Rattus norvegicus: one gene and its partners. The protein of the gene in region 2 interacts with the protein of the main gene of each other region in a pairwise test. Links are inferred from orthologs where the notes say so. Each region holds a gene or a part of one and is shown on either strand. Other genes may lie near its edges.

What was found.
Region 1: the proteins of Kat7 (region 2) and Ninl interact in a two-hybrid assay, tested with the Homo sapiens proteins (2 studies listed by BioGRID and IntAct). The two-hybrid records come from large-scale screens. The link is inferred for Rattus norvegicus from reciprocal best matches to the Homo sapiens genes KAT7 and NINL.
Region 3: the proteins of Kat7 (region 2) and Dvl3 interact in a two-hybrid assay, tested with the Homo sapiens proteins (2 studies listed by BioGRID and IntAct). The two-hybrid records come from large-scale screens. The link is inferred for Rattus norvegicus from reciprocal best matches to the Homo sapiens genes KAT7 and DVL3.

Annotation. Positions count from the first base shown.
Region 1 is NC_086021.1:160,225,367-160,231,126, reverse strand, and holds part of Ninl (ninein-like protein), read left to right. Parts: intron 1-198; coding exon 199-373; intron 374-1,395; coding exon 1,396-1,506; intron 1,507-1,606; coding exon 1,607-1,687; intron 1,688-4,138; coding exon 4,139-4,271; intron 4,272-5,760. UniProt on the Homo sapiens protein: Involved in the microtubule organization in interphase cells. Overexpression induces the fragmentation of the Golgi, and causes lysosomes to disperse toward the cell periphery; it also interferes with mitotic spindle assembly.
Region 2 is NC_086028.1:80,727,117-80,732,876, forward strand, and holds part of Kat7 (histone acetyltransferase KAT7), read right to left. Parts: intron 5,752-5,760; coding exon 5,653-5,751; intron 2,386-5,652; coding exon 2,275-2,385; intron 315-2,274; coding exon 123-314; intron 1-122. UniProt on the Homo sapiens protein: Catalytic subunit of histone acetyltransferase HBO1 complexes, which specifically mediate acetylation of histone H3 at 'Lys-14' (H3K14ac), thereby regulating various processes, such as gene transcription, protein ubiquitination, immune regulation, stem cell pluripotent and self-renewal maintenance and embryonic development.
Region 3 is NC_086029.1:93,872,193-93,877,952, reverse strand, and holds part of Dvl3 (segment polarity protein dishevelled homolog DVL-3), read left to right. Parts: intron 1-99; coding exon 100-167; intron 168-295; coding exon 296-445; intron 446-946; coding exon 947-1,078; intron 1,079-1,240; coding exon 1,241-1,408; intron 1,409-5,074; coding exon 5,075-5,290; coding exon of another isoform or gene 5,291-5,294; intron 5,295-5,382; coding exon 5,383-5,760. UniProt on the Homo sapiens protein: Involved in the signal transduction pathway mediated by multiple Wnt genes.

The DNA.
Region 1 (5,760 bases), on a different chromosome or scaffold from region 2:
GACATAGGACATCAAGGGATCTGCACAGAGATCTCTACCCACTTGCTCGCTCCAGGACTCCAAGTGTAGCTCTGAGTGTTTGCCACCACCACCCCGAGCTCCTTGTCTCGGGTCAGCTCCTCCAGTCCAGGAAGGAAGAACATGCAGAGGGCAGAGTGACACTCCCGGTGGGACTGTGCATTGTGTGCTCTGTTGTAGGCACCTAGAGCAGGAGTACAGGGGAAGGCTGAGCCTCCTGCGGTCCGAGGTGGAGATGGAGCGGGAGCTGTTCTGGGAGCAAGCCCGCAGGCAGAGAGCCGTGCTGGAGCAGGATGTGGGCCGCCTCCAGGCTGAGGAGACCAGTCTGCGTGAGAAACTGACACTGGCTCTCAAGGTAGGTGGGATGCGTCCCTGCTGTACACTGGGAAGGCGCATATTGGCAGAGCAGGGTGATGTCATGCTCTCACTCAAAGTAGGAGGTCTTGGCTTTGCTCCATTCTCCTCTATCCTAAGTCATATGATCTCAAAATCAGAGTGAATCAGCTACCGCAGCCAGTATGGCTGCATCCCTAGGGTCAAGGAACACCTCTAGACACTGCCTGCCATGACCTGGATTCATAGCCACAACTTTTAGGGTTTGGGTGAGTGTCCCTGCCTTGTACCTACCCTGCTTTTGGCTCCCCAAAGCCATCTTAGCTGTGTGGACAGCCAAGCTCCAGAAGCACTTGCCTGTGTGCCTTCTTTCTGTTCTGCTCCCAGCTTCTTCTTTCCTAATGCCTAAGGGCCTCTGGCCTTTTCCCCACCTCCCTGGCTCCTGCAGCCCCTGCCCAATGTGGTAAGAGTATCTGGACATAACTCACATCACCCACTGATGTGATGGTACTCTCTTGACCCTTCTCAGCACAGCACTTTTCTTCCAACACCCTATGCTGGACCTCTGAGCCATTTTGATACAACTTTAAACCTATCACTTTAAAAGCAGCTTAAGGGGCTGGGGATTTAGCTCAGTGGTAGAGCGCTTACCTAGGAAGCGCAAGGCCCTGGGTTCGGTCCCCAGCTCCGAAAAAAAAGAACCAAAAAAAAAAAAAAAAAAGCAGCTTAAACACGACGCCTTACCAGCCCTTTCTTCCTTCCCCCATGAACGTTCTGAACATGGGAGTGGGAGCAGAGAAAGGGAAGATGGTGGGCAGACAGTCACCTCAGTGGTGTTAGGTTTGTCGTAAGAGATCGGGTTCTAACAGCGCACCCTGCCTGCTTGGTGAGGCAGCAGGCAGCCACACGTTCGCTCTCGGGGCTTTTCCTGAAAAAGCTGCTGTATGGTGGGAACAAGCCTCTGCCATACAAAGAAGTGATGTAGAGACTTGTCAGCATCTTTCTCTGTGTCCTGAACCCAGCCCATACCCACCTGTCTCCTAGGAAAACAGTCGATTGCAGAAGGAGATCATAGAAGTGGTGGAAAAGCTTTCGGATTCCGAGAAGCTGGTTCTCCGCCTGCAGAGTGACCTCCAGTTTGTGCTGAAGGACAAGGCAAGCCTTTTCTACTCACAGCAGTTTCTGTGGTCAGGGCATCATGGCCTGTCTTCCAGGAAACCTGACATGCTGGTATGCACATGTTTCTCTCTTTCAGCTGGAGCCTCAGAGCATGGAACTCCTGGCCCAGGAAGAGCAGTTCACAGCCATCTTGAATGATTATGAGCTTAAGTGCAGGGTGCGTGTCTTCCCCTGAGTCTGCTTACCCATCTCGAGCACCCCTGAGTCCTATTCCTACAGCCTGCCCTACAGCAGTGGCAGGAAGGGGTGGGCCTGCTACACAGAACCAACACCTGGCTCAAGACCCCAGTGGCCACGTGAGGCCTCATCTCTTTCCCATCTTCTCCTTGGTCGTCAAGTGCAGGATGCCCCATAAGTGATTGCAAGAGCTTCTTTTCCAGCAAGAACTTCTTATTTTAGTCTTTGGTCAGCCATACATGGGCATTGCATGACTAGTCAAATCCCAAGACAGAAAGTGTTCCCCGACTGTACTTCCAAATGAATCCTCCTAAAGAAATTTCAGTGTACGAAGATCAGAAAGGAAAATCAGAGTTGAAATGACCCGCTTCTAATAAGAAAAAGACCTTTGAATTACTGAAGATCTGCCACAAATCCTTATTAGTCAGCTCTTGGTTAGGCTTAATTTACCAAAAGTTAATTGGTGTAAAACTTACCAGAGGCACTATTTACAAAGAGCGGCACATATGTGGTTGACTTTAGACACTGTAGAAACCCTTGCCCTTGAAGGTAGATATGCAATAGTGTGCTGTCTCTGCAAATGCAACAGCCGATGCAGGAGAAATGCTTGCACCCAGGAGCTGAAGGTCAACCTAAAAGCAAGTAAATGCCTATAATCCCTGATCTTGGGAGGAGAGGCCTGAGGATTAGGAGCTCAGGGCCATTTATCTCTTGACTATACAGCCAGTTGGAAGGCAACCTGGGCTGCCTGAGACCTCGTCTCCAAAAACCCCCAATCCAAAACCTACAACAAAACAAACACGGCAGTCTGAAAAAATATTGTAAGCTTAGCTTAAAAACAAACAAGCAACAACCAAATCATGAGAGCCCACAGGCCCACCCTCTTGCTCCTTTAGATTGCAGGTATCAAGGGGACTGAAACAGTAGCTGCTGCTTATGTTAATTTAATAGAAAATGTCATAGTCTTGGAATAACACTCGTGATTCTAGGATCACCTACAGAGGCTGCACTGCCAAGTGACCAAGGATAAGTAATATGGGTTCTCAGGTAATGGGCACTTAAAATTTTACATGAAGTCGTAGCTCATTAGTCGACCCCCATACATAGCATGCCTAAGTCCTAGGTCTGGTCTTGAAAGCAAAAATAAAACAAACCCATTCAATAAGGAACCCCACTGACAGAAAATCTCAGGGTGTCAGTAGCATTACTGTTCAGTCAGTTAATTTCTCTGTTTTTACGACAATAATAAAAATGTGACAAACACAATAATTTATAGCTATCTTGACATTTCTAAAGGACAGGGGGAGCAGACAGCTGAATTCAGTTGCATCTGATACTTTACAGCTATGCTGACTGTAAGGCTTTGCTTTAAGTCAACTCATGCTGAAAATCTGTAGCTACTATTGAGAATACCAAGAGAGGCATTGTTATGATACCGAGAGTTATAAAGTAACCTTACATGATATGAAAATTGGTCCTACATTGCAGAAGGCTGTAGAATCAGTCAGAAAACACACTCCGAAATGGAACTGCTACTGTTTGCGTGTGTCCTTGGCGTCTTTCCCTGTGATCTGTCGTAGGCTTCATCCAGGCGGAGTACCCTACACGCTGAGTAGATGAATATCCTTGAAAGACAGTGGCCATGCGTGTTTTTAGGGAGCAACCTCAGAACTGGGGACATGAGCCAGGCAGGGCTGACTGACTGTTCTCGTACTTCTCAGGATTTTCCAGGACTATGCCGGAAGTTTCTTTTCTTGTCCTTTTGATGAGCAAGTGGCTGAGCCTTCTCATCCATACACATTTCACTGAAGTCCAGAGGAGACTCTTGTCACAAATGCAGACTCTTCGTCCTCACCAGAGGGAGATCTGGAGATCTGGGAGAGACATCTCCCAGTCCAGTCTCCTATTGCCCAGCAGACTGTACTCCATCAGGCCTCTGTTTCCCAGATAATACCTTTTCTCTCTGCTAAGGGCATCACTGCTCTGTAGCATTTAATCTAAAGCAAATGGCCTAACAACTATAGAACTCCATGCCAATTCCACAGCGACTGGGGGGAGGAACAAACACAGCCCCAGAGATGTCCCAAGATGTCAGTGCCCATGCGTGCAGCACACCACTACTTGATATAGCAGCACCTGTTGAGAATTTTCCTCATAGCCTCAGCTTTCCTTTTGTGCTTGAACTCCTTTTATATATCCAGTGACATAAGCATGAGTGTCGAGAAATGGTTTCCCTAGCTCCGCCAGGACCTAGGTAGTTAGAGTCTTAGGTGCAGATTTAATGTACATGCCGGAAGTCCAGAACCCACACCTGCCTGATGTCTAGTCTGTAGTGGATGCTTACTACAGAGTGGGGCTGATCTTGGGTTTGGCCTCCCAAGGCTGAGTGGCTGCAGCAGCTGGAGGAGGTTATCTGTCTCTGCCCACACAGGACCTACAGGACCGCAATGATGAGTTGCAAGCAGAGCTAGAGGGCCTGCGGGTGCGGCTGCCCAGGAGTCGACAGAGCCCCTCAGGGACCCCAGGCACCCATAGAAGGTGGACCCCTGGACGTGGCCCAGCAGGTAGGAGCTCAGTCTGGAGGCTAAGTTGAGAGTGGGGCTCCAGGGCATGACCACAAGGCTGGACATGTGGCACCCCAGAGGAAAAGATGAGAGCAGGACGGAAAATGTTTGTAGAAATCACGAAGGTTATAATTCCTTGACTCCAAAGGAGGCAAATTTGCCTGAGGGGCATGTTTCCACGTTGGAGCCTATGAGGTCACAGGCAACTTTGTGACAGTGCTGGACTTGGGAGGTCATATAGCATGGTGGGCATAGGACATTCCCAGTTGAGGGAATCCTGGCCGCTGGGTTCAGTGGAAAACACACTTCAGGCTCTTCTGCTCTCGGACAGTGGGGTCAAGACGAGGGCCCATGTTTAAGTGTTCTTGGTCTTTTTTAGAGGCCAAGGCCGCTGTTGTGGAGGTGGCACAGTTCTTGTGGAGGACGGGGGTACTTAGGTGGTCTCTGCCTTCTTACTGGTTGTACCAGGCAGTCACTCCAGCTCTGCTGTCTTCAGCAGTAGCAGGTGACACTCTTGACCCCATGGAATTCAGCAGCCCTCCCCAGTTACATAGTGGCAGCCTAAGCCCCTCAGTGTGGTTCTCCAACCTCAGAGCACTTGAGCCTCCATGCATCCTACAGCTGTTTATGGTGGAAAGACAAAAACACAAACAAACAAACAAAAAAGATATACTCTTAGGCTCTCCATGAGGAACTTTACCTTTGTGAGGTCTAGATGGCTGCCAGAATCCCCAGGGAGTCTCAGGAAGAAATAGAGAGTGGCCTTGGCATACCCCTATTAGAGGGGGGAGTTAAGGGAGGGGAAGAAGGTGTGGGGTGCAGTCCCTTGTTGTGCAGTTCAGCCCAGAGCCCAGCCTAGCCAGAAGGTAGAGCGTGATGGTTGCTCCTCTGGTGTCAGTAGGAGCCTGAGTTGCACAGAGCATGTGGCCTTGGTCAGGAGTGCAGGGATAGAGCATTGTGGAGCTGTTCACATTTTCCTCTGCACCCATCAGAGCCCTCACAGAGCCAGGATTTCCCAGACTGGCCTTAGGTGACTACACTGTGTATGTCAGTGTGTGCTGTAAAAACAAGTCACATAGAATCACCCAGAAAACACAAGAGGAAGACTGAATAAATGAGCCGGTGCATACATCTGAACATGTTCAAAAGTGTGGAGACTTGGGCACGAAGCTCTACACAGAAGGGAGCCTACGGAACTGTTGTCATTCTCTCTTGTCTCCCCATTTCCTCTGTGTTCTGGCATCATTTGAAGCCAGATTTTAAATGCAGTAAATATACCATCTGGTGAGGATCTTTCAGAGAGTTAAGGGACCTGATGAATCTAGTGGGAACCTCCTGGTTCTCTCTTAGTAACCAGTGATACAGTAAAGACTTGAACCTTGCTGGAGAGTGGTTTAGATCTTTTTTTTTTTTTTTCTTCTCTTTTTTTTGGAGCTGGGGACCAAACCCAGGGCCTTGCGCTTGCTAGGCAAGCGCTCTACCACTGAGC
Region 2 (5,760 bases):
AAGTCTCCACCCTATTGCTGTGGACACTTGGGAAATGTCACTTTTTGGACACTTATGCTATCTCTGGAACATAACTGGGAAACCATGTAACATCCCCTCGTGATGTGAACAAGAAAACACACCATGTGTCGGCGGAGAATCGTTTGGCTCTTCATGTATTTTAAGCAGAATTCACACATGTAGAGACGTCCCAGTCGTGCATATTCTTCAGGATAGGGAGAATGGTACCAAGTATCCAGCTCGTAGCGGCCAAAAGCAATTGTTTTAATCATGTTGCTTCCCTCTGTGATTTGGCCTTGAAGCCTTAACTTCTCCTATTGACAAGAAGAAACCAAAACAAATAAATCCTTATCTTTGGTTTTAAAATTAGATTTTTATCTACACAATAATGTATGTTTTGTTTGTGCATAAACATGCATGCATGTGTGCATGTGTTTATACCTCACACGCATGCCTGCACATGTCAGAAAAGGGCATCAGACGTCCCAAACTGAAGTTATAGGTAGCTGTGAGCCACCATATGGGTGCTGGGAACTCAATGTGTTTTCTTTGCAAAAACAGCAAATGCTCTTAACTGCTGAGCTATCTCCAGCCTCTATTACCCTTATTCTTAACAATTTCTACCAGGCCAGCAACTAAGGTATAAAAAGACTTAGCTAGATTTGGCCTCTGTCCATAGATGGCTACTAATGTGTTACTTGAGCATAAAAATAAATAAATAAATAAATAAATAAATAAATAAATAAATAAATAAGGCACGTTCATAGAAAATGGGCCAGCTATACTGCCCAGCTATCTTTAAAAGAAAAAACGTTTTTGTGTTTTAACCGAACCTCAAATGAGGATATAATGGGGATGACCTTGAACTCCTGAATTGGCTCCCTTCATTTCCAGATAATGTGGCCACAGGTTCGTGCCACCACAGCAGATTTATGTGGTGTTGGAGATGGAACCCAGGGTATCCTGGATCCCAGATAAGTACACTACCAAAAAAGCTATAGTCCCAGCCCACTTCTGTTTGTTTTTATTTTTAATGTTTGGTTATTGTGTGTGTATGTAAAGACAAGTAGAGATCAGAGCAGCTTGTGGGGAGTCAGTTCTCTCCTCCTACAGATCTCGAGGCTATTCAGGTTTGACCTCTGCGGCTATCCTCCTGGTCCTCCTCCCTGACTAGGGCTTGGATTCCAGGTGCACAACAGGCAATTACTGTTTGCAGTAACCAGCTGGAGAAGTAGGACCTGGCTGGCCTGAGGCAATGATCTTCATGATGGAAAGGAAGAGCAGGAGGTGGCGACCAATCCCAGACCAGAGCAGCCACCAAACCTGCCTCTTGCAACTCATAATAAAAGGAAGGAGGGGGAGGAGAGAAGGATGATGAAAGGGGTGATGGGGAAGGGGGCAATGAACGGGATATAAAGTGAGTAAAAATAAATGTTTTTAAAAAGAAGGGAAGGAAATGAAATTAACACTACAAACTCAATTTCCCTGAGCACATTTAATTTGTTTTATCATAAGTAAAATCAGTTTCTACAACGTTTTCTAGGCCAGCCACAGGTACTGTATCAAATGCAAACAAAAGGAGCACTTCTGCCTAGATATCTCACGTACCAATGAGCCCAGAAGTCTCAAACTTGCTTGGGCAACAAGATAAGATCTCCTTATCAAAAAAATCAACAAATTCAACAACATATCTGGCCTTCCCCATTTTTCTTTGCTGTTATTTACATGCTTTTAGGGTAAATGGATGAAATGGAAAGAAACCCTATAAAGAGGACGGTGCTATACACCGAAGTCCTAGGTTCCCAGACTGTACATTTCACCTAGTAGATATAAAAGGCACCTACAAAATAAGTTTTAAGCACCCCGGCCCCAACCTCAAGCAAACTGGATCTTCCAGTTAAGGGAGACACAGGAGGGAAGGGTGAGCAGGGGGTGCGTTCTCTACGTAAAGAGAAGACGAGTGGGCTGGAGAGATGGCTCAGTGGTTAAGAGCACCCGACTGCTCTTCCCGAGGTCCTGAGTTCAATTCCCAGCAACCACATGGTGGCTCACAACCATCTGTAATGGGATCTGATGCTCTCTTCTGGTGTGTCTGAAGACAGCTACAGTGTACTTATATATAATAAATGAATAAATAAATCTTAAAAAAAAAAAAAGAGAAGACAACCTCTAAAGACAGCCGAGATATCTCATCATACTTGTTTTCACCTTTCTTGGCAGTTCGAAGGGCTTTTCACATGGTCCTCCACTCACTGTGGGGATTTTGGTACTCACCAAATCCTCAGAAGCCCGGGCTTGTGCTCTTCGGAAAAGATCTAAGTCATATTCACTCGTCAGGTTTTCCAAGAGAGGCTCCCGAGTGTTCCCATAGGTCTGTCTGTGTTCCTAGAAAAAAGTAACCAGGGGTGATCCCATCTGTTGTGGAACTTGGTTTATTTCACTCCAATGGAAGCCAAGCTGGACCAGGTGCTTGCTATTTACAAAGTACCCATCATGGCAGTGGTGCAGGGGACTGAGGTCAGGCAATGGTAACAGTGGTGAGGTCAGAGACTGCTCTTGCTCGCCTCATCAATCTGAGCAACATAAAGGCCAGCAGCCCCAAGGTGGCACGATAGTTCCTAGAATCCGAGAGCCGGCCAGCTCGAGTGAAGCAAACATGGCTCTGGCAGCCTTGCCTTCTCCCCCATTCCCTCTGCCCTGCTAAAAACCACCAGATTGCACTCCTAAAGCTGCCACCAAGATATCTCTGTGAAAACAGGGGTTTGTGCCTAATCTGGGTTGCTCTGTGTGGGGTGTAAGGGTTTCCTTCACTGATGACACTCTGACAGAGAAGCAGGTACTCCAGGCATTAGTATTTGAAGAGAGCACTCAAGCTAAGGGAGGGCAAGCAGCTGGACCAGTGGGCCCATGGAAACTGCTTCTGACATTACTTCACTGACTGCTCAACTTGTAAGGTCAAGTCAAGTGCGCAGCTCCTGGAATGTTTACTAACTGCTAAACATTAAAGAAAAATTAAATATAATTAAGAACAGAAAAGGAATCCAGTTTTAAATTAACTTTCAAATCTTACCAAGCTGGTAAGTCTCCTTTCCCTGGAAGGAAGGCAGGAGGAGGAAGAGGAGGAGGAAGACTTCTCCTTAAAACTGATTCTAGCCTCTCTCTTTCTGCCTCAGAAGACAAGACAATGGGAGTTCTGAGAAGTAGGAGGAAGAACATTCTATATGCTAACACACATTAGCATCTAAAGAAAGCACTCAATCTACGAACATTTCCTTATGGCTAATATGGCTCAGTATGTTGTAACTTCTTTCTTTAATTTGTCTCTGTGACTTAAGATTTAGGTTCGAAGTATTACTGACTTCTTCTAACAATCCACCTTCCCCTTTCTCTTACACTGAGAAAGGATTTCATGTAGCTCTGCCTCCACTTCCCAATGCTGGGATTACAGGCAAGCCTGAGACCACAGCGCTGGAGAATCAAACTCAACATGTCTTGTACTCAGGCAAAGACTAAACCAACGAAGTCATTTCTCCAGATCAAAACAAAACCCAACCAGCCCGGGCTGGGGCCACACCCCTGCAACCCACACTTAGGAGGTGTAGAATCGGCTAAGGACAGTCCCAGCCATACATTAGTACATTCAAGGCCAGCCTCCGCCATATGAGACCCTATTTCAAAAATGTAAGCAACAAGAAAAATTTCTATCTAGCGCTTTTTAAATTAGGAAAAGACCCAAATAACGTGTCTCGAGCTGGTGAAAAGCATATCTGAAAGGTGAAACAGCTCGATAGCATTTACATCAGACACTTTCTACCTATAAAAATTTGAAGATTTGGGGTTGGGGATTTAGCTCAGTGGTAGAGCGCTTGCCTAGCAAGCGCAAGGCCCTGGGTTCGGTCCCCAGCTCCGGGGGGGGGGGGGGGGGAATCTACAATTTATAAATCAGCTACAACTTATAAATCATACACTTATTGCCTATTCTAATGACAAAGTGGAATAGCGTTCCAATTCTATGAAGAAAATACTCAAAAAAAATCACATATCAACACAATACACTACACAAACACACACACACACATATGTGTATTAAAAATGTACTTTTTTGTTCATGACAGGGTCTCATTCTATAGTTCAGAAGGCTCAGGTGTCTTACTTTGTGGCTCAAGCTGGCCCTAAACTCATAGCCTCCCTGAATGTGTGAGTCACTACTTCTGACTACTTTTTGTTTTGTTTTGAAACAGGGTCTTGCAATGCTGCCCAGGGTGACCTCTAGGCATAGACCACCATGTCTGGCTATATTTCAGTAGAAAATGTACTAATACATGTCTAGTAAAAGTAAATCTTTAACTGAAAAGCTGTATTTTTTTTTTCCAGAGCTGAGGACCGAACCCAGGGCCTTGCACTTGCTAAATCCCCAACCCTGAAAAGCTAGCTCTATTTTATGCAGAAAAGGCTGAAAGATTTTAATATGAGGACATTAGTTCAAGCTTTTTAAAGGAAAAGACAAGACAACCGGGTGGTGTGGGAGAACACAGAAAATGGCAAATGAAGAGGATTCTTTTTCTAAAAAACAGTTTATGTGCAGGACTGGAGAGATGCCTCAGCAGTTAAGAGCACTGACTGCTCTTTTGGAGGTCATCACTTCACTTCCCAGCAACCACATGGTGGCCCACAACCATCTGTGATGGGATCCGATGCCCTCTTCTGGTGTGTCTATACTCATATAAATAAATCTTAACAATAAATTTATATGTATTGGTGTTTTGTCTGTATGTGAATCTGTGTGTGTTTGATCGCCTGGAATTGGAGTTAGGGACAGTTGTGAGCTGCCATGTGGGTGCTGGGAATTAAACCTGGGTCCTCAGGAAGAGCAGTCAGTGCTCTTAACCTCTGAGTCCTCTCTCAGTCCCCAAAAAGGCAAGTTATATAGTTAAAATAAAAAGCTAAAAACTTGATAAAATGCTAATCGTGGCTATTTTCAGGTAGGTTAATCTTATCTTCTGTATGCTATTCGTAACTTTCCCTTATTATTATAAAGTGTACATCATATTCAAAGTTAGTTCTTAGATGCTCATCTATATCCCGATCCCCTGAATGTTTTATCTTATGCAGCCATTTCTAATGTCATTGGTATTTGTTCTAATAGGCATATTTGCCTCCCTGTCCCAGGACTGCAGATTGAACCTAGCCCCTTTGCATACACTACTACTAACAGAAACGACTGGGAGTTTATTTTTCATTTGGGAACAGGGTCCAGCTAAGTTGCTGAGGCTGATTTGGACAACACTTGGTAGCCTGGTAGGCCTAGACCACATCATCTTCTTGCCTCAGTCTTCAGAGTAGCTGAGGTTACAGAGCAGCACCAACAGGACCCCCTTAAATGTAATTTTTTAAAATGATATTGAAGGTGTTCTACCAACTGGGCTGCATCCCTAGGCCCTGAGGATGGAAATCTCAAAAACATCAACTCTACTGCAACTGTATAATCCCTGACTCACTCAACAGCTAGCTCTAACTTGTGGGAGGGTGCTAGGCAGCTGAAGAGAGCCCCAGAATTCACTGGATGTTCTCTGTAGTAAACAGCTATGAGATCCGACAGGCAGAAGCTCAGACTTGACTGACAGTGGGAGTTCAGCTTGGATTTTTCCTCACCATGTATTTCTCTTTCTGCTCTTTGCTCAGTCCAGAATTTCTTTTCTTCCTGAGTTCAGCCACTTTTTCCTTATACCGCAGCTGTCTCTCTGTTGGTGCCTAAAAGAA
Region 3 (5,760 bases), on a different chromosome or scaffold from region 2:
ACAGCATGGGACTGGGGGAAGGTGGGCCAGGCACTTCTGGCAGGAGACTTGGTCTGGCCTGTGTGCATCCTGCCTTTATTAGGACAACCTTGCTTTCAGGCCCATCACTCTGACTGTAGCCAAGTGCTGGGACCCAAGTCCTCGTGGCTGCTTCACATTACCCCGGAGTAAGTAGACAAGGGATCATCCGTAAAGTTGGTGTTGGCTGTATAAACCATGCTCCTCTCTTCTCCTTACATGTTAGACACTGTAATAGGCAGGGTGGGCAGCCTGTGATGACCCATCTTCCCTGCAGGTGAGCCCATCCGTCCCATTGACCCTGCAGCCTGGGTCTCCCACACTGCAGCCATGACAGGAACCTTCCCTGCCTATGGCATGAGCCCCTCCTTAAGCACCATCACCTCCACCAGCTCCTCCATCACCAGCTCCATCCCCGACACAGAACGTGAGTATTCAAGTCTGTCCCTTGGGCCACCCAGCAGACGGGCCAGGTGGGAGGATTGGTGGAGGGACCCACTGTGCATCGGGGGGAGCCTTCGAGGGGACACCGTAGCTCTTCCCCAGAGGGCACGCAGAGCCTCACTGAACACTGTTTGCTTCTTAACATACCATGAGCACCCACGGAGCCTCAGTTTCCTCTCATACAATGGGGCTACTAGTATATGCTTCCCAGGTTCCTGTGGGGTTCGATGAGAGGTTCTAACTAGAGCCTTGGTACTGCGTGACATGAGGGAGCACCAGTTTACTGTCATCCCATGTGCATGTGCTTAGGCTCCTCTGTCACATGTCCTTGTGAAGACACTAATCATTCATTTTTACAGGAGGGGAGACTGTCCAAGGAGTTGGTGGTGGGCTTGTCATTGTTGAGTGGGAGAGCTGAGATGCCACTCCTGTTTTCCTAACTCCACAGTGCCTCTTTGTCTCACTGCTCTGCCCCTTCCCCCAGGCCTAGATGATTTCCACCTCTCCATCCACAGTGACATGGCGGCCATCGTAAAAGCCATGGCCTCCCCCGAGTCAGGGCTGGAGGTCCGAGACCGCATGTGGCTCAAGATTACCATTCCCAATGCTTTCATCGGTGAGAGCCTTACTGCAAGATGAAGGACAGGTTGTGGAGACAGGGGCAGGGCAGGGTGGGGACCCGGGCTCTTCCTCGCCTACCTTTGGGTTGTTAACCGCCCTGGCATCATAGCTTCTGTGAGCTAGAGGAACCCAAATCAACTGGCAGCCTTGTCCCCAGGCTCAGATGTGGTGGACTGGCTGTATCACAATGTGGAAGGATTCACCGACCGGCGGGAGGCCCGCAAGTACGCTAGCAACCTGCTGAAGGCTGGATTCATCCGCCACACGGTCAACAAGATCACGTTCTCTGAGCAGTGCTACTACATCTTTGGTGACCTCTGTGGCAGTACGTGTCTTCCCACCACCCTCCCCCTTTATGAGACAGGGCCATGCGACATAAATCATGCTGACCTAATAGCTGCTGTGTAGTCAGCTTGACTTGAATTTGCAGGAATCCCCCTGCCTCAGCCTCCTGAGTAATGGGAATATAAGTGAATGCTACCACCCCAGAATCCCCCACCTTCTCGTCTCCTGGATGGAAGTAAGGAGGTGCTCTGTGATAGGATGGCTGACTCCAGGAAGCCTAACTCCAAGCTCTGACTTGGGGTCTGGCTCAAAGCGCAAAGGCCCACAGTACAAGCAGAGCCTGATGGAGCCTCTTCACTGCCCTCCCATCTCCCTGTGGAGCCTGCCACTAAGTGCCTGTTCTATGCTTGACATGGTGCCAGTGGTTTCTGAGCTGTCATCCTACCATCCCACTCAGCCTTCACCTCCTAGTGGGGTGGGGGTGGGTATCTCCATGTTATCAAATGAAGAAATCAATTTATTGGTGTAAAACAGTCTACGCTAGGTCTCACAGTTAGAAACAAAGGAGATAGGCTTTGGTTCCAGCTCTTCTGACTCTAGTTCACACTGTTCTGGGCTTCTCAAGGGACACAGTGCTCCAAAACACATGGTCTCAGCAAGGATATGGACTGGCAAGGGAGTCCTGGTCTTTCTAAGAGCCCTGGGAGTAAACTGTACCGTGGTGTGAAGCTGGAGAAACTGTCAGTAGCAGAGGACTTTACGAGACTTCATCCTGAGCCACTGAGCATAATCTAAGGAGACCCTTCCTTCTCTTTAGCCTACAGAGGCCCTCACACAGGCATTGCTGTTCGTGCCAGCAGCTGAGTCCTAGCCCAGCCGCCGCCCCTGCCCACACAGCTGTTACACCTGTGGTGCTGGCTGACACCCAGGACTGATCAGATGCTTCTGGGACCCGGTGGCTGGCACTGCAGAGCAGCGTCTCTCGGTAGAGGTTGGGGCTCCTGGCCTCGGCAACTCTTACAGAGGTGTGATAGGATTTTTGGACTCAGATAGTTCTTTTTTTTTTTTTTTTTTTTTTTTTGGTTCTTTTTTTTCCGGAGCTGGGGACCGAACCCAGGGCTTTGCGCTTCCTAGGCAAGCGCTCTACCGCTGAGCTAAATCCCCAACCCCAAGGACTCAGATAGTTCTTACTCTACTGTTACTGTGATCACAGTAGGTGTGTTAGCTTCTAAGTTCGAGACGGAAGTAAGCTAGAACTCATCCCATGGAGATGTCTTAAGCATAACATAATGTATGTACACCCATTTAGAATAGTGTGTGACCCACAAGAAGTGCTCCATAAAAGCTGCCTGCCATTCATTATTTAACTGATTATAAGATGCACTTCTATTTTCACATCCCATTCTCTGAAATTGGGTATATTTTCCATTAATAGTTTAGTAGACTCAGAGAAATTGGTTATTTTTGTCATTGTTAGCAGACATCAGCCCAGGGCCCTAGACATCTTGGAATATACAAAGCTTCCAAGACAGCCATAGCAGTTTTGCTCAAAAGATGTTTATTCTTGGGCCTAGCTGGGTCCCTCACCTAGGCCACCCAAGAGTTGGCTCAGGGTGTGCTGACAGAAAAACCTTTTCCTTCTTTGAGGTCATAGTCTGCAGCATGGGGAATGTGGCAGGCTCAATGAGGAACTATGTGCTCACTATGGAGTTTATTGTTGGTTCTCTGGACAGCACCTTATAGGCTAAAGACATCAGCAGGCCTTTGAGTGTGAGCCAATACAGGACACTGCTTTCCTTCATTGCCTGTGGCTGCCAAGTCAGAGGCTTGGCTATCCGGCTCCATAAGCAATTTCAGAGCCTCATACCCTGGCTTCTTCCTGCAGAGCTGGCTGGATCACCTTGGGCTTGGAGGTAGATCTCATGGTGTAGGTGGCCTCTACAGGGCAATTATAGCTTTCTTAGAATTGAGGTGCACGTGAGCAGGTCCTCGGCAGGTAATCAGCCCTAGTAGCCTATTTTACTCCCTGCATGGAAGCTCCAGCTCTTGAGAGGACTGCTTACCTTTAGGAAGTACACAGTTTCAAGGATGGAAGAAACCCATGAAGTAATGCCTAGAGTCAGGGCACAGTGGAGGCATTTGAGTTGTTCTTTCTGGCCCTTCCACCCCATCTCCACTCTCCACAATAGCAAATGTGACCAGGGCAAGAGCCTTCTATAGAGGAGGCCCTAAAAAACCATTGTATTTATTTAGGATTCTGCCTCTCTTTTAATTTCCCCTCCCCTACTGCTGTGTAGTCTGAGTTGGCGGACTTCCCAGTCCTGCAGGAATGTCAGATGCACACGAACACACAGGCCATTCTGGACCTCCTCTTCCTCCTCCTCCTCCTCCTCCTCCTCTTCCTCCTCCTCTTCCTCCTCCTCTTCCTCTTCTTCCTCCTCTTCCTCCTCCTCCTCCTCCTCTTCTTCTTCTTCCTCCTCCTCTCCCCCCTTTTCCTCCTCCTCTCCCTCTTTTTCTTTTGAAACAGACCCTTTACTACATGGGGTCTGGCTTTCCTAGAACTCACTATGTAGCCCAAGGTAGCCTTGAATTCTCAGGCCTACCTCTGCCTCCTGAGTGTTGGGATTAAAGGCATAAGCTACCACACCCAGCTCATTCTGAACTTTTACTTTTTAAGATTTATTTAATTTTTGCGTATGAGTCTTGCCTGCGTGTACCTCTGAGCACCATGTGCATGCAGTGCCCAGAAAGGCCACTGTGCCATGGGACTGGAGTTACAGATGGCTGTGAGCCATTTATGCTGCTAGGAATCAAACCCAGATCTTCTGCAAGAGCAACACGCGCTCTTAGTTCCTAAACTGTCTCTCTACCCTCATTCTGGGCTTTTAATAAGTGTTATTATTATCATTCCTATTATTTAGGAGGAGCAAGAGGAGGGAGGGCAAAGGCTCACTGAGTTTCCCCAAACATCCCCCTCATAATTACCTGAAAGGCAGGAGTGTGAGCACCTCAGCTTCTGCTCTGCCTGCAGCTCTGCTCTCCTCTCTGGACTTTTGTTCCTTGCCTGGAGAAGCGGTTATTACCTCTTTTGGGGGTCGCTGGATACTGTGCTTACGAGTCATGGTACAACCCCTGGTGGCTTCTAGTACTTCAGCCTTCTACATTCCCCAACTCAGTTCCTCTCAACCAAAGAAAAAGTGGCAAAATAAGAAGTGAGAGGTGGGGGTTGGGGATTTAGCTCAGTGGTAGAGCGCTTGACTAGCAAGCCCAAGGCCCTGGGTTCCATCCCCAGCTCTGAAAAAAAAAAAAAAGAAAGAAAGAAAGAAAGAAAGAAAAAAAAAAGTGAGAGGTGGGGTGGGTAGAGTAAATCTTGTTTAGTTTTTGCTGTTTTTGTTTCATTTGGGAGTCTTTTTTGTTGCTGTTGTTTTGTTTTTGAGACTGTGTTAATGGAGCCTAGCCTGGCTTCAGACTTACTATGTAGTCTAGGTTGGACTTGAACCCGTGTCAGGAAACTTTGAAGGTCTTGGAGATTAGATGTGGGGATTGGCTGTACAGCTATTGAGAGAGGCCAGTGGCCAAAGAGATCTGCAGGCCTCCGGTTCTGGCCGTAAACTTTAACACTGTTGCCTGTGGTGCCTTCTGCTGGAGACCTGATTGTAGGTGTGGAACCACAATAGACCAGCTTACCTGAGTCCTCTTCCCACAGACATGGCCAACCTATCGCTGCACGACCATGATGGCTCCAGTGGTGCCTCTGACCAGGACACACTGGCTCCTCTGCCGCACCCAGGGGCTGCCCCTTGGCCTATGGCTTTCCCTTACCAGTACCCACCACCTCCGCACCCGTACAACCCACACCCAGGCTTCCCGGAGCTGGGCTACAGCTACGCTGGGGGCAGCGCCAGCAGTCAGCACAGTGAAGGTAGGTCAGAGAGACCCAGCTGGAAGGATCTGTAGGGAGCCCCGGCCACCTCTGCACCTCCATCCTGGGCCTGTTTTTTTTTTTTTCTACAGGTAGTAGGAGCAGTGGCTCCAACCGAAGTGGCAGCGACCGGCGCAAGGAGAAGGACCCAAAAGCTGGGGACTCAAAGTCAGGTGGTAGCGGCAGCGAGTCAGACCACACTACACGCAGCAGTCTGCGGGGGCCACGGGAGCGGGCACCAAGCGAGCGCTCAGGCCCAGCGGCCAGCGAGCACAGCCACCGCAGTCATCATTCACTGACCAGTAGCCTGCGCAGCCACCACACACACCCAAGCTATGGCCCACCCGGAGTGCCCCCTCTCTATGGTCCCCCGATGCTGATGATGACCCCACCGCCTGCAGCCATGGGGCCCCCAGGAGCCCCTCCAGGGCGTGACCTGGCCTCGGTGCCCCCGGAACTGACGGCCAGCA